Daphnia pulex: one gene and its partner. The protein of the gene in region 1 interacts with the protein of each later gene in a pairwise test. Links are inferred from orthologs where the notes say so. Each region holds a gene or a part of one and is shown in the gene's direction. Other genes may lie near its edges.

Evidence for each region. The genes of interacting proteins can lie anywhere in the genome.
Region 2: the proteins of replication factor C subunit 4-like (region 1) and PRKCA-binding protein-like interact in a two-hybrid assay, tested with the Caenorhabditis elegans proteins (3 studies listed by BioGRID). The link is inferred for Daphnia pulex from reciprocal best matches to the Caenorhabditis elegans genes rfc-4 and Y57G11C.22.

Annotation. Positions count from the first base shown.
Region 1 is NC_060027.1:6,481,464-6,488,039, reverse strand, and holds replication factor C subunit 4-like, read left to right. Parts: upstream 1-2,652; 5' UTR 2,653-2,742; coding exon 2,743-2,861; intron 2,862-2,927; coding exon 2,928-3,104; intron 3,105-3,186; coding exon 3,187-3,285; intron 3,286-3,363; coding exon 3,364-3,422; intron 3,423-3,573; coding exon 3,574-3,611; intron 3,612-3,681; coding exon 3,682-3,781; intron 3,782-3,847; coding exon 3,848-3,937; intron 3,938-4,007; coding exon 4,008-4,111; intron 4,112-4,369; coding exon 4,370-4,567; intron 4,568-4,675; coding exon 4,676-4,762; 3' UTR 4,763-4,829; downstream 4,830-6,576. UniProt on the Caenorhabditis elegans protein: The elongation of primed DNA templates by DNA polymerase delta and epsilon requires the action of the accessory proteins PCNA and activator 1. This subunit may be involved in the elongation of the multiprimed DNA template.
Region 2 is NC_060018.1:683,366-689,838, forward strand, and holds the start of PRKCA-binding protein-like, read left to right. Parts: upstream 1-2,588; 5' UTR 2,589-2,835; coding exon 2,836-2,882; exon of another isoform or gene 2,883-3,322; coding exon 3,323-3,382; intron 3,383-3,582; coding exon 3,583-3,612; intron 3,613-3,882; coding exon 3,883-4,122; intron 4,123-4,688; coding exon 4,689-4,800; intron 4,801-4,880; coding exon 4,881-5,011; intron 5,012-5,115; coding exon 5,116-5,335; intron 5,336-5,467; coding exon 5,468-5,519; intron 5,520-5,635; coding exon 5,636-5,769; intron 5,770-5,937; coding exon 5,938-6,045; intron 6,046-6,108; coding exon 6,109-6,194; intron 6,195-6,265; coding exon 6,266-6,329; intron 6,330-6,411; coding exon 6,412-6,473.

The DNA of each region.
Region 1 (6,576 bases):
CACTCGGCTCAAACCTATTATATTATGTATGTCATACATAAATAGCGATATAAAAAGTAGGTTCCGAGTTCGATCCAGACCTCAGACATAAAATGTTTCGCTGAAATGGGGGGTGAAGAAAGGGAATAGAATGGGTAAAAAAATAAAATTTGTTTTCAATTTAGAATTGACTACATTAAATCTCATGCAAAATATATGACGATCAATCAACGGTTTTATAGAGCTTGCGAAGCTCTTCATATCAAAGTTTTCCGCAACGTTCTAGCTTAACCCGTTCTATAGTTATAACTAGGGCTGTAACCCGGGCCATGAAAAAAATTAACCAGGAAACATGAACCCACCGATGTATTTTTTTTTACGGGACGGGCGCCGGGGCGTATCGCTGAGTCCGCGGGCCAACCCGAGCGGTAGTGTTGTCTACCGCCAACCCGAGCGGTTGTCTAGTATTCACATAGAGAACAGAGAAGCTCGTTATGCAATATGCCTGCGGCCTCAAGAAAGACCTAAAAATGTTGCCGTCAAATGCTCTACGAGAATTCCGTAGTGAAAAGTAGAATAAGTGGTAGATAAGGGCATCCAGGAGTGTGAAGAAGACAGTATTGACGTGCCATTGCTAGAAAAAGAAGATTATTAAGAAATTTATGGAATTTTTTCAAGTTTGTTCAATGAGATGAAAGTTAACTACTACATTTAAACTTCAGTAACATTTTCAAGTTTCTTTTATCAATGTACGTTTGACTATGTATATAAATATAATTTGTAAACGTCCATTGATAAACTTAAAAAATGTGTGTTTGACCCGATTTTTACCCTGGGCGTGACCCGGGCCGGTAAGTTTGTTGTGTCCCGTGGGATGACCCGGGTCGGGTCATTTTTCGCTTTTGGCCCATCCCGATCAAACCCGTGTTAAAAAAAAAATCTAGGAAACCTATCTAAAAAAAAAACCGCCCATTTAGCTCCGGGTTACAGCCTTAGTTATAACCCTTTAAAGTACCCTAATTTACACGTATCAGTGTTGGCTGCGCGCACGTTTAATATGTGCAATTTCCTGTTTGATTGCGCGCATCAGTGTTGGCGGAGGCAGTTTAAAGTGTGCGCAGGTTTAAAATGTACAAGTTTGGATCTTGCGCGCATTTCAGTATCACAGTATGGGTGCGCGCATATTCCCTTCGGCCAGCGCGCATTTTAGTGTTTAGGCACGCATTTTCTCCCTGCGATGCGCGCAAACTAGTACGTTTCTTTTTTTTTTTAAACGCGCATTTTAGCAGAGCTAGACTCCTGGTCGCTTCACGGCTGAGTTGGCTTCTTCCCTATCCCGGTTTCAGGGTAAACGTAAGCCGATTTGGAAACTTCAAGTGAGTGTGTCAGCTACTACGCTCAGCTACTTTTGAGAGCCTAGATGGCTCTTTTTAACGTTTCCACTTCACAAATTCTGACAGGCTCCGCCCTAAAATCTCTGAAAATCGGCTTACTGTTACCCTGAAACCGGGATAGAGAAGCCAACACAGCCGTAAAGCGACCAGGAGTCTATAGATGTTATACCAATGAAAAAGTAGTATGACATGCCAAAAAATCGTGCGCAGTTTACGCCGATGCGCACCACAGCGGCAGATAGCATAACTAAACTTTTTATTACGCTTGGACTTAGCGTACTTCAAGATCCTTTGTTCGACAAGCAGTCGGTTCTCGTCTCGTCTCTTGAAGTACGCTAAGTGTCAAGCGTAATAAAAAGTTTAGTTATGCTATCTGCCGCTGTGGTGCGCATCGGCGTAAACTGCGCACGATTTTTTGGCATCTACTACTTTTTCATTGGTATAACCATAGACAAAGACCACTGGTTGATGCTGTGCTATCCTTTTAGCCCTATCCCTACTGACCCCGAGCTCCCGTATCGATTGTAGTGCCTCTAGCGGACAAAGTACTGTACTGCACCGAGGCTACGAAGGGTTTTGCAGACGAAGATTGTTTTCCTTCTGTCTTGGTAAAATTCTTTGCTGGCGTTTAATAGTTTTAGGTAATTTTGCCTTAAAAATTTTTATTAAGAAGTCAAATTGTATTAAATTTTGACATTAGCTAATTACAAAAGCAGAGAAATCAATTAATCATTGCAATTGAATAGAAGTAAGCAGAGTGTAGAGATGAAAACGTACACTAGAGGGCAGGACAAGTAATACGGGGTTGGAGAAATCGGAGGAAGGGTAGCAAGAATTCTGGCGACAGTTGGCCATGTTAATTTTCTTATGAAGAGCTTCAACCAGTGGTCTTTGTCTATGGTATAACATCTATAGCTCTGATTTTAGTTTTTTCCGCGCAAGACAAATTCCGCGCATTTTAGTGTCCGCGCAAGGCGCACGCGCATTCTAGTAATAGCAGTAATAGTAATCATTCAACGCTGTATGAGTTAAAGACCCGCGAAGTGGAACAACAACAACACAGCATTGCACAATACCTACAAGCCACAACAAGAAGTCAAGAACCAGCAAAGAAATGTAGAGGAAATGGGGGGTAACATTTATTTATCAAACCATCGAATTCCGTTATATAATAATAGATTACAAATAATAATTACCGGAATATCGGGGAGAGCTATCATAGACATACAAAATTAATAGAGCTGCTTTTTTTCAAAATCGTTCGACCTGCCCCTAGCGACAAGCTAAAGCATCTCTGGTGCGCGAGATAAAAAGATCGCAGTCTCTACTTCAAATTTTTCGTAGTCTGTTAATGACAAGAATTGCTTAAATGGATTCATTTTTAAAAACTGGAAAGCTCTCTAATCAGTCTAAGGGAAGTGGAGTGCCATTACTTCCTGGAAATGTTGAAGAAAAAAAGCATTCTTTAATACCTTGGGTCGAGAAATAGTAAACAAACTTGAATTTTATTTTATAATATGTGAAACAGTTTTTTAATCATTTGTCATACTCCAGCCGTCCTCGAACGATTGATGAAGTTTCATATCAGGAAGAAGTAGTTGCAGTACTTCAAAAATCACTCCAAGGAGCTGACCTTCCAAATCTGCTTTTCTATGGTCCACCTGGTACTGGTAAAACCAGCACCATTTTAGCAGCTGCCCGAGATCTTTTTGGTGATATTTACAAGGATAGGTAAATTGTTTTTCTTCCAACCTATGTAATGTTTTGTTTCACAGAAGAGATCTTATTGCACAAGCTAATGTTTTTGATCTAGGGTTTTGGAATTGAATGCATCAGATGAACGAGGTATCCAAGTTGTAAGAGAAAAAGTCAAGATTTTCTCTCAAAGAACTGTTAGCTCAGTTAGACCTGAGTAAGTTTTGAAACCTTTTTTTTTAAGAAATCGTAGCACACTATATTTTGTTGTATTTAACTAATTATATTTGTACAGTGGAAAACAATGCCCTCCTTTCAAAATTGTGATTTTGGATGAAGCAGATTCTATGACAGGTGGTTAAAAAAAAACTTTTTTACAAATTATTATAGTGTTTAATTGTGTAGCCAATAACTAAATTTACCATTTTCCATGATAGCATTTCATTTAGTATCTAGGAATTATTGGCATATAAAAATTCAAATTGACATTGTTTAACTCTGATAGGTGCTGCACAAGCGGCTCTCCGCCGAACCATGGAGAAGGTAATATTTCAAAATAAATTCTACAGCAATTTATATTTAAGGTTTCCCATAAACGTGATAATTTCTCTAGGAGACGAAATCGACTCGGTTTTGCCTGATTTGTAACTACGTAAGCCGCATCATAGAGCCCTTAACGTCAAGATGCTCCAAGTTTAGATTTAAACCACTCCGTAAGATATTTGTTAAATGTTGTGACTAGTGTAAACATGTAAAAGTTGGATTTATTGAAAAATCAGCTCGCGAAATTTTGGTCAAAAGACTAGAACATATATGTATTGCTGAAAATATGTCATGCTCAGAAGAAGTTTTGGAAAGTTTAATCGAAGGTACATACACACATATATCCTTCCACTATACATTTTTATCGGTTAACATATCTGGTTCATTTTTTGTTAGCATCCGAAGGGGATCTTCGAAGGGCGATTACTTTTCTTCAATCTATCGCCAATTTGAATTCTGAAGCATGCCCTACCATTGAAGACATCTATGAAATTACAGGGGTAAGTTTTTTAAATAATTGTTTTATTTATTACTTTGTGAAGTTGGAAACGTAGTAGATGGAAGTATTATTTCCTATCGGAGTTATACGTTGATTATTGTGTTTCGATGGATGTTCAAATTCCTTGTATACTATAATATAGGTTTTTATGCGCCTTTTTATGCCAAAAAACTATATAAATCGTTCGAATTACTAGTTGTACTAAAATCATATTTTACTAACCATCTCATTTAAAGAATATTTTATGTTTTTATTGAAGAGAGTGCCAAGTTGTTGGATTGAAGGCCTGCTTGAAAAATGTACTTCCGGATCATATGATGCAATGCAGTCATTTATCAACAATTTTTCGGCTGAGGGATTTTCGGTTTCCCAGCTTCTTAACCAACTGCATGAACGAATCGTCTTTTCCACAGAACTTTCATCCAAGCAGAAGAACGTGATATGCGAAAAGCTGGCGGTATAAAGTTCATTCAAAAGTTTTTGTTACGATTACCGGTGCTAATTTCTATAGGCTTGTCGCGTTTAGTTTAACTCAATTTTTTCAATCGTATTTTCTATTGATTAGATTTGTGATCACCGTTTGGCGGAAGGAGCTGATGAACAACTTCAGTTGTTAGATCTTAGCTGTACCATCATGAATTCGTTCCAATAGTTCTTTGTAATTCTATTTCTTCTATTGGAATACATTTCTTATAGCAACTCGCTATCAAGTAATAAAACAATCGAGCTGATCAAAAATGTAAATGTATCGTTTAAAGCCTGAGTTAAATATAATTCAAGATTTAAAGATGGCATATTTAAAAAAGAAAACAAAAATGTTTAGCAAACTGAAATTTAGCAAAAAAATATTTGTTGAGATTGCTACTTCCTGTCACTAAAACTTGCCATAAAAGATTCAATGAAATTAGGAAAAAATCAGTTCCCTACAATCTCAAATATAAATTTTTTGCCTTGGCTTGAAGGGGGTGAACGCACTGAACGCTGTTTTGAAAAAAATTGTATCAGCATTAATTGGCCGCAATAATACAATGTAGTATTTCTGTTAATGAATGGAATAATTTGGGGCGGTAAATAATCTTATGGTGTATCAATTTGACTTAGTAATCGCTTCTAAATGTTTATTTTGTTTCCTTGAACTTTTTGTGTCAGACAACTGGAAGTGGTTGAACCGTGATCACAAGTTGTTTTAGATTTTGAAAGCAGATAACTATAATACACGAGAAGAACCTTTTAGGTTGAAAAGATCCGTCTAAAGCTTGTTTTCCTTGACACGTCAAGCTACTTTGCTGCAGAAAAGAATCAACAGAGAAAACACTATCGCCTTAGTTTATCGCTTAGCCTTACTTCAAGTAAATCTTTCCTGTCCGGCGTTGTTGGTTTCAGCTGTCAAAGTGATTCTGAATATGTATTGTATTACTCACAGATTACCTGTATATGTCTGTACACGTTTAAAAGAGATGAATTGACTGACAATCTATTATCTACACTTTTACTTAACTAAAAAAAAATCGGATTTACCAAAATGGTAGAATTGAGCTAAAATTCTGAATTAACCATATAGAAATAAATCGAATAGTCGATTTTAGGCGGATCTCTTTTTAAAATCAAATTTCGCGGTCTGTGCAAATTTAGAGATGTAAATCTATATCAAATGCAATGTTGTCGTTGGCTGTAACGAAATAAGCTACTCCATAGAGTTTACAGAACGCTAGTTGCCTAGTTCTTTTCTAAAAAATAAACGTTAGACACCAGCGGCAGTAGAAATGTGGGGATCACGATTAGACTAATCCCGATAAAGATTTTTTTTTAACAGGAATCATCAATATTAAATTTGGCTTTTTGCTGATTATCATTTATCAGTTCTGTTTTTTTATGATAGAGCAGTTAACACTCAAGCAACGACTTCTAGGGTACGTATCATATTCAATTCGAAATTTTTTTGGCAGTTTAACAACGTTGCGATTGGTTAGATATTATTTTACACATGAGCAACCCATCTGCGCTGCGCGTCATCGGCCGCTATCCATTAAACCGTTTAACATAGTACATAAAAAATGACTCGAATATTGCACCCTAGATGGCGAAATCGTCGAGTTATTACTGATTCAATTAAAAAAAAAGCATTTCAATAAACCCAGATTAATTGTTTAATTTGGATACTGCAGTAAGTATCAAAAATGATTATTTCCCAAACTGAAATCTATTGCTAAATTAATTTGTAATGATGCAACTCGTAGTGTTTGAAATTCTATTCTTTAAAATCACTATTTTTGATGAATACTATTCTCAATCGTCAAACAGGACCAAATATATAGGATGTTCTAAACCCTTTGTAATCACGATGGGCGTATTACTTAGCATTTGATTATGAGATTAGCATCGGTACAGTCTATTACCCACTAAAAATTGAAATGTGGCACGACCGATTTGACATAGGGTTGTGCTCCTCAACTATACATGATATGT
Region 2 (6,473 bases), on another chromosome or scaffold:
TCTCTCTGTATGTGTCAATATCTCCGCCCACTTGTCTCTCTCCTCTTTTGTTTGGGGGTCACCTGCGACGAGAGACATATAACAATAGGACGTGTGATGTGGTAAATATATAACAAGCGATGGGCCAATTTTTCGACGCCACACACACAGACAACAAAACGTGGTCCACTTGCGCCATTTCGCACACATAGGTGTGGCAATGACACCCACTCTACACAGACACACGTGCTGATTGAAAAAACAAATAGATTTCTGTACCTGATAAGAATCCGGTGGGGGGCGAAACGCACTTTTGGGTTTGTTGCCGACGAGGAACAAAGCCGAGCAGAGTTCCGATAAGAAGAAGAAGAAGAGAAAGTTGCGCCCGAACCCGTTGAGGTGGCGCTGTTGAATCCGAACGCCAGTAGCGAGTAGCGAGTCGACTATAGACGGAGTCCACCACCAGCCAAAGATACGCGTATATACCTCTCCCACACACACACACACACACAAAACAGCAAGGGGGGTATGAGTGTACGGTATCTCTTGCATCAAACGCAATCAGCGCCGTCGCCGTCGTCCTGGCATCGACCGCCCCCCTCCACCGACCGACGCGCCCAGGTCCGGCTGTTGCTGCGCGGGCATCTCGCCGAGCAGCCGCTCTGCTTTGCGTTTGACACGGTAGCCCCATGAAAAATGACAATGACAAAAAAGAGAAGAAGAAGAAGAAGAAGATTGAGAAATATCGAAGAAAATCAAACGGCGCAGAGCGGCACCACCGCCGGAATCAAGTCGTCGTCGTCGTTCCCCCCCCCTGTTGGGCGTTGGCTTATTCTCGGCAAAACAACGGGGTCGGGGGTCGGCCCTGCATCTCTGCTAGACTTTTGGATCGATGATCTACCACCCTACCACTCCCTTTACGTTACTTTTGCCCCCCCACCCAAAAGGCCAGACACACACATACACACTATATACTATATTGGGTTGAGAGGGAATCGACGCTCTATAGGCATGGCACAAGATCTTTTATAGACAACGCCGGCGCACTACTGGACAAGCCAAAAAAGCGGAACCCCCTTTTTTTTCCAACCCACACGAAAACAATATTCGAGACATATCTAACCCATGTTATACTCATCATTACTGAGACTACTATAGGTACTATAAATGTGATGTTGCTACGTGCCCAAAGCCCCAAAGTAAAGCGCATATCCGCCGCCCTCACACTTTCGTTTGACGTCTTCATTGTTATTCAACTTGTTTAACCAGTCTGCCGTCATCGGCTCTCTCTCGGGTTATTGGTTCGTCATCTCTTCATTATTCAGCCGTGCCAGTCCATACACATGAATCGACTCTTTCCGTTCATAAGACAACGGCTATAAGTGTATTACATTATTTCACTCCACGTAATAGATGTGTACACGGCGTGCGCTGGCACATGACTTTGAATGCATCCAACATCATCAAAATCTATCTAGCCAACAACTCTGCTCCCCTTATGTAGCCTGCTGCTGGGAAAAAAAATCGTGACGTGTGTACTACTAGACTCGTCACGACGACGGCCCAACTTTCTTTTCATATTTTTCCCATTACACCCGCGAGTTTCTTGAGTGGCGTTATTCATCAACTCGCCGAGAGTCTATATAGCGGCTAGAAACTTTCTTCATTTGCCTACATCAAATGTATACATAGAGCAGCCCAGTAGTTATATATACAAAACAGCGCCGAGCAAGTGACTGCTGGGCGCTTTTCATCTTCATCCGCTAGCCGGAAATAAATAAAAAAAAAAGTTGGCAAAAGACGACAAGAAACGTCTCGTTCGTTCGCTTTTCTATTATGAAAATAGCCCCCCCCCCCCCCACCACCATCCGATCGATGATGATGAATCTCTTTGTACTCTTCTTCTTCACTATGTACACACAACTGGAGATGTTCCACCATTATGGGCTGCTACTGGCTGCCGACTTGGCCCGGTGTGTGTATAAAAGGGCCTAGAAAAGGGGTAATCAGTTCGCCCGTTGCCAAAGGTTGACGTCAGCGGGCGTTTCTATATCATCGATTAGTTGCCACTCTCGTCAATTAGCTCGACGCCGCTTTTGATTATTCAGCAGCAGCCGAGATTGATTCCTGTTTGGTTATTTGAATCGACCAATGAATTCCGGTCGTATCGAAATGATTAAAACAACGGCGCAGCGGCAGCATATAACCAATCAAAGTGGAGGGCTGCGCTGTTGATGAGGATGTATCCAGCAACATTATTATTTTGGGTGCCGTATTCCGGTGCTGCCGGATGGTGTTGAAGAGTTCAGAGGAACCACTCAGCCCTGCTCATTTATGTATCAGAAGAGTTTGAACGATCTACCCGAAGAGTTCCCGCTGGACGAATCGATAACTTCCTCAGCTGGGCCGAATGCGGAGAGCGGACAAAAAAAGAGGGTGGCGTATATAATACATTATTGAAGGGGCGACTGAATGACACAAGGAGAATGAGAGAGAGGGGGGAAACCAGAAGAGTCGACGCGCAGGGTGCGCATCCGCCAGTCTTCACGCAACTCCCAGCAGAGCTCGTCCGGCGTTGCCGGATTTTTGAAGCGAGTCGACACGATCGATAAGGGGACCGTTTTCCTGGGCTTATCGAGACGGGAAGGAGAAGCCTGGTGGTGCTGGCCCCAGCCGTTGTAAGTGAGTAGACGACAATTTCTATACGGGTGTACACAAAACAGCTGTGGCAACTGTGGCGACCAGCACCGGGCATCTCTCCTGCTGCTGCTGTCTGCATGTGTCGTAACGTCATTTGACAAACAACCGCATCTCTCTCTCTCTATCGTCTCTGTGCTGAAACAACAATCACCCAAAATGTTGTCCGATTACGAGCCAGACTTTTTTTTCGAAGAGGACAAGATGTAAGTTGATTCGTTCCCTTTTGTAGCTATAGCTCAATCCATTCCGCATTCATTTTTATTTTTGTTCGGTGCGTTCACGTTTTCCGGTTTTTTTTCCCGTTTGATTGCGTGTGTGACGTCGTCGCATGAAAAGAACTCGTTAACCGACTGGTCGATTCGACTCGAGTTCTCCCAAAAACCCCAAATGTTTACCATCGATTTCAGTTACTACAAGTGTCACTTGACAACACTTTTGGTCGTGTAATTATTTTGGCTGCGGGCAGAATAATAGTCAAGAGTGTTGAGAGAAAAGAAAAAAATAATAATAACTCGGTGGTGTTGTTGTGTGCTGCCCTTTTGTTCAGTTCAGTTCAGTTCATTCTTCATCGCTCTGTGTTGTATTTTCATTTTTGGCCGTTGGATTTCCGTTGAGTCAATTTGGCTGCGCGCGCGCACATCAGCGAAAAGAGCAAAATGTGGCCGTATTACGCCGCCCAGTTGCCCATGAAAGAAGATTCCATGTAATTTTCGTTTGATTTTGTTTTTTTTTTGTTACTTATTTTTATTTGCTTTAAAAACTCACGGCGCATTCTTTTTTTTTTCTTTCACGGCTTGATGAATTTTATGATTGATGTGTTTTTTTAAATTTTTTATTTCCTTATTTCCTTCAATATTACGCACTCGCCTTCACTCGCTCTATTTGCGCGCTCCAATCCAAAAGTCCCGAAACGACTTTTCACAGCGGAACCGGGTAAAAACCATCGACGTAGATAGAGACAACCATAAAACCAGTTCGATATTATATAATCTATATAGCTCAAAAATCCCAGTAGATAATCCCATACACACGAACAGAAACGGACATTGTTTCTCCGATAATAACGACGTTATATTTCTATTCTTATTTCTACCAAAATCACGAAAATCGATATACACGAACTAACTGTGCGTGACCACCTGGGAAAACGTGACCGACCAACAAATCACCTGGACCGCCGGCAATGATGGATATGGCCAGTAGTAATAAAGTTAGCTGGGACGACGACCTATCAATAACAAGTCCATCAGATGAACGTCATAATATCCAGAGCTCTCGTGACGACTGCGATGGTAGCCCAGCAGCGGCAGCTAATAACGACGACGACATTGTCCCGGCCGTTGTTAATTCCGACGAGCTTGAATCGTCCTCTAGCATGATTCTTCTTGAGGTCGAAGACATTGAGGACGAACTACGTGGATTTTTCTGGCCAGAGAATCGAGAGTAAGTCGACGACCCGAGTGCGCGCCTGTACAATCTGCAAAATGTAGAATCGTCGTCGACTATATATAATACGCCTCGCAGTGCGTGCAGCAGTTTAATGGTGTGCGCTATAAATAGAGAGAGGATCGATATTATTTGCCATCTGTATAGCAGCTCGTTTTGCTGCTGGTAAAGCCCATCATCAAATAGTTATTCCATTTTCCAACTTTTGGGCTCTTTAGATGTATGTATAATCATGTAGTCTCTAATTCAACGTCGTGTACTCTTTCGACCTCGTTATTTCGGCCGCCCTTTCTGCGGTCTTTGACGTGTACTCTAACGCTTTTATCACGCTCTCACGATCGATTGGCTATATAGTAGCTCTGTGCATATTATTAGGCTACTATGTATGTTACATTTCGGGGCTCTATTGGCTGAGCTGGCTTCTGCTTCTGCTTTTGAAATTGTGTATGATTGATGTTACGTGGCTTTGAGAAATTATCGACTGGCAAGTCGATAACTTATTTATCTGCCATTTCGCATCGTTGAAATGAATTAAAAATGAATGTTTGCATCACGTATAACAGGGGAATGACGATTACGACGGGTTCCATCGTTCTGGAAAAGGACGGATCAAATTTGATTGGAATCAGCATCGGAGGAGGTGCACCTTATTGCCCTTGCCTCTACATTGTCCAGGTTTATTAACCGAAATCTATCCGGCGCTTCCGGCGCGGTGCGGATGGAATTTTTAAAATTCGTATGTTGGGTAAATTTAGATATTTGACAACACTGCAGCCGCGAAAGACGGTACACTTCAAAGTGGCGACGAAATAATTGGAGTGGACAACGTCTCGGTCAAAGGCAAAACCAAATCCGAAGTGGCTAAAATGATTCAAGCCGCCCAAAGGTAATCATAATAATCAGATTTCCTCCGCGCGTAACTATATATACGTACTTTGGAAGGAACCAACAAATTTGAATTTCAATTTCGTGGTATTTTTAAAATTGTAGTTCAGTCACGATCCGGTACAACAAACTTCACGCAGAGCCCGCCCAGGGCAAGACGTTGGATTTGATCCTGAAGAAAGTCAAGCACCGCTTCGTCGAAAACATGTCCAGCTCGACGGCCGACGCTCTGGGACTTTCGAGGGCTATCTTGTGCAACGACAGCTTGTTGAAGCGTCTAGAAGATCTCAAGCGTTGCGAGGGAATGTACCGAGGCTTAGTCGAGGTATATTGCGTGTACCTTCTTCGTCTTATTCTATCATTATTTGCTTGTTCACGTCACGTTGTTGTTGATGTTCTTCCTTCCACAAACACGTCACGGATGTCATTATTTTTCAAAATTGGGTTCGTTATATAGCACACCAGGCGACTCCTACGCTCCTACTACGACCTCTCCCAAACTTACAAAGGTATATATTTTATAATGGACTCGAAATAAGATTGAAAGTGGAGTGAACTTTTTTCTTAGTCCAAGAAGAGACTTAAATTTTCATGAAACGAATGTTCTTGTCGTGTGTCTTCTTAGACTTTGGCAACATCTTTTCAACCATCGGCGTTCGCGAGTTGCAGCCTCGAGCCAGCGAAGTTTTCACAAAGTTTGGCGAGATCCATCGGCAAATGGAACGCTACGGCGTCCAAATGATTAAACAACTCAAGCCGGTATACTTAATATAACATCCGGCGCCGAGCGAGTTTTCCAGCAAAAAGCCTCCGGCTTCGATACAAAACTTTTGTCTGATGTGCTTGCTGCCCCTCCACAGCATCTGCAGCAGCGAAACTTTTGTCCGTTCATATCTAACTGAATCAATCCATACATGTTTAAATCAGGTGCTGGCGGATTTAGGGACTTTTCTCCACAAAGCCATCCCAGATACGCGGATGACCATCGGTCGCTATGCTGACGCAAAGTTTGAATATCTCTCCTATTGTTTGAAGGTATGTATAACATGGGATGTCTGACTATTGATCCCGAATTTAATGAACTTGGCGATGAATCAGGTCAAAGAAATGGACGACGAAGAGCAGAGCTACCACACGCTACAAGAGCCTTCCTACAGGATTGAAACGGGAAATTACGAATACCGGTAATCGATACATCTCAAATCCCGCGTATAGAATTCAAATGTTAATTTATTGGTTGGCCCACATGACGCAGATTGGTTCTTCGATGCCGCCAAGACGCCAGGGCGCGATTTGCCGCTCTACGGTCCGACGTTCAGGTATAATAGTGAAAGCCACGCTGTTTTATAACACACAGCAGTAATTTATTAAAGTGAATAACAAGATGAACCCATCCATCAGGTCAAAATCGAGTTACTTGACAACAAGCACGTACAGGATGTCGTGCAGCAGCTCCAGAGGCT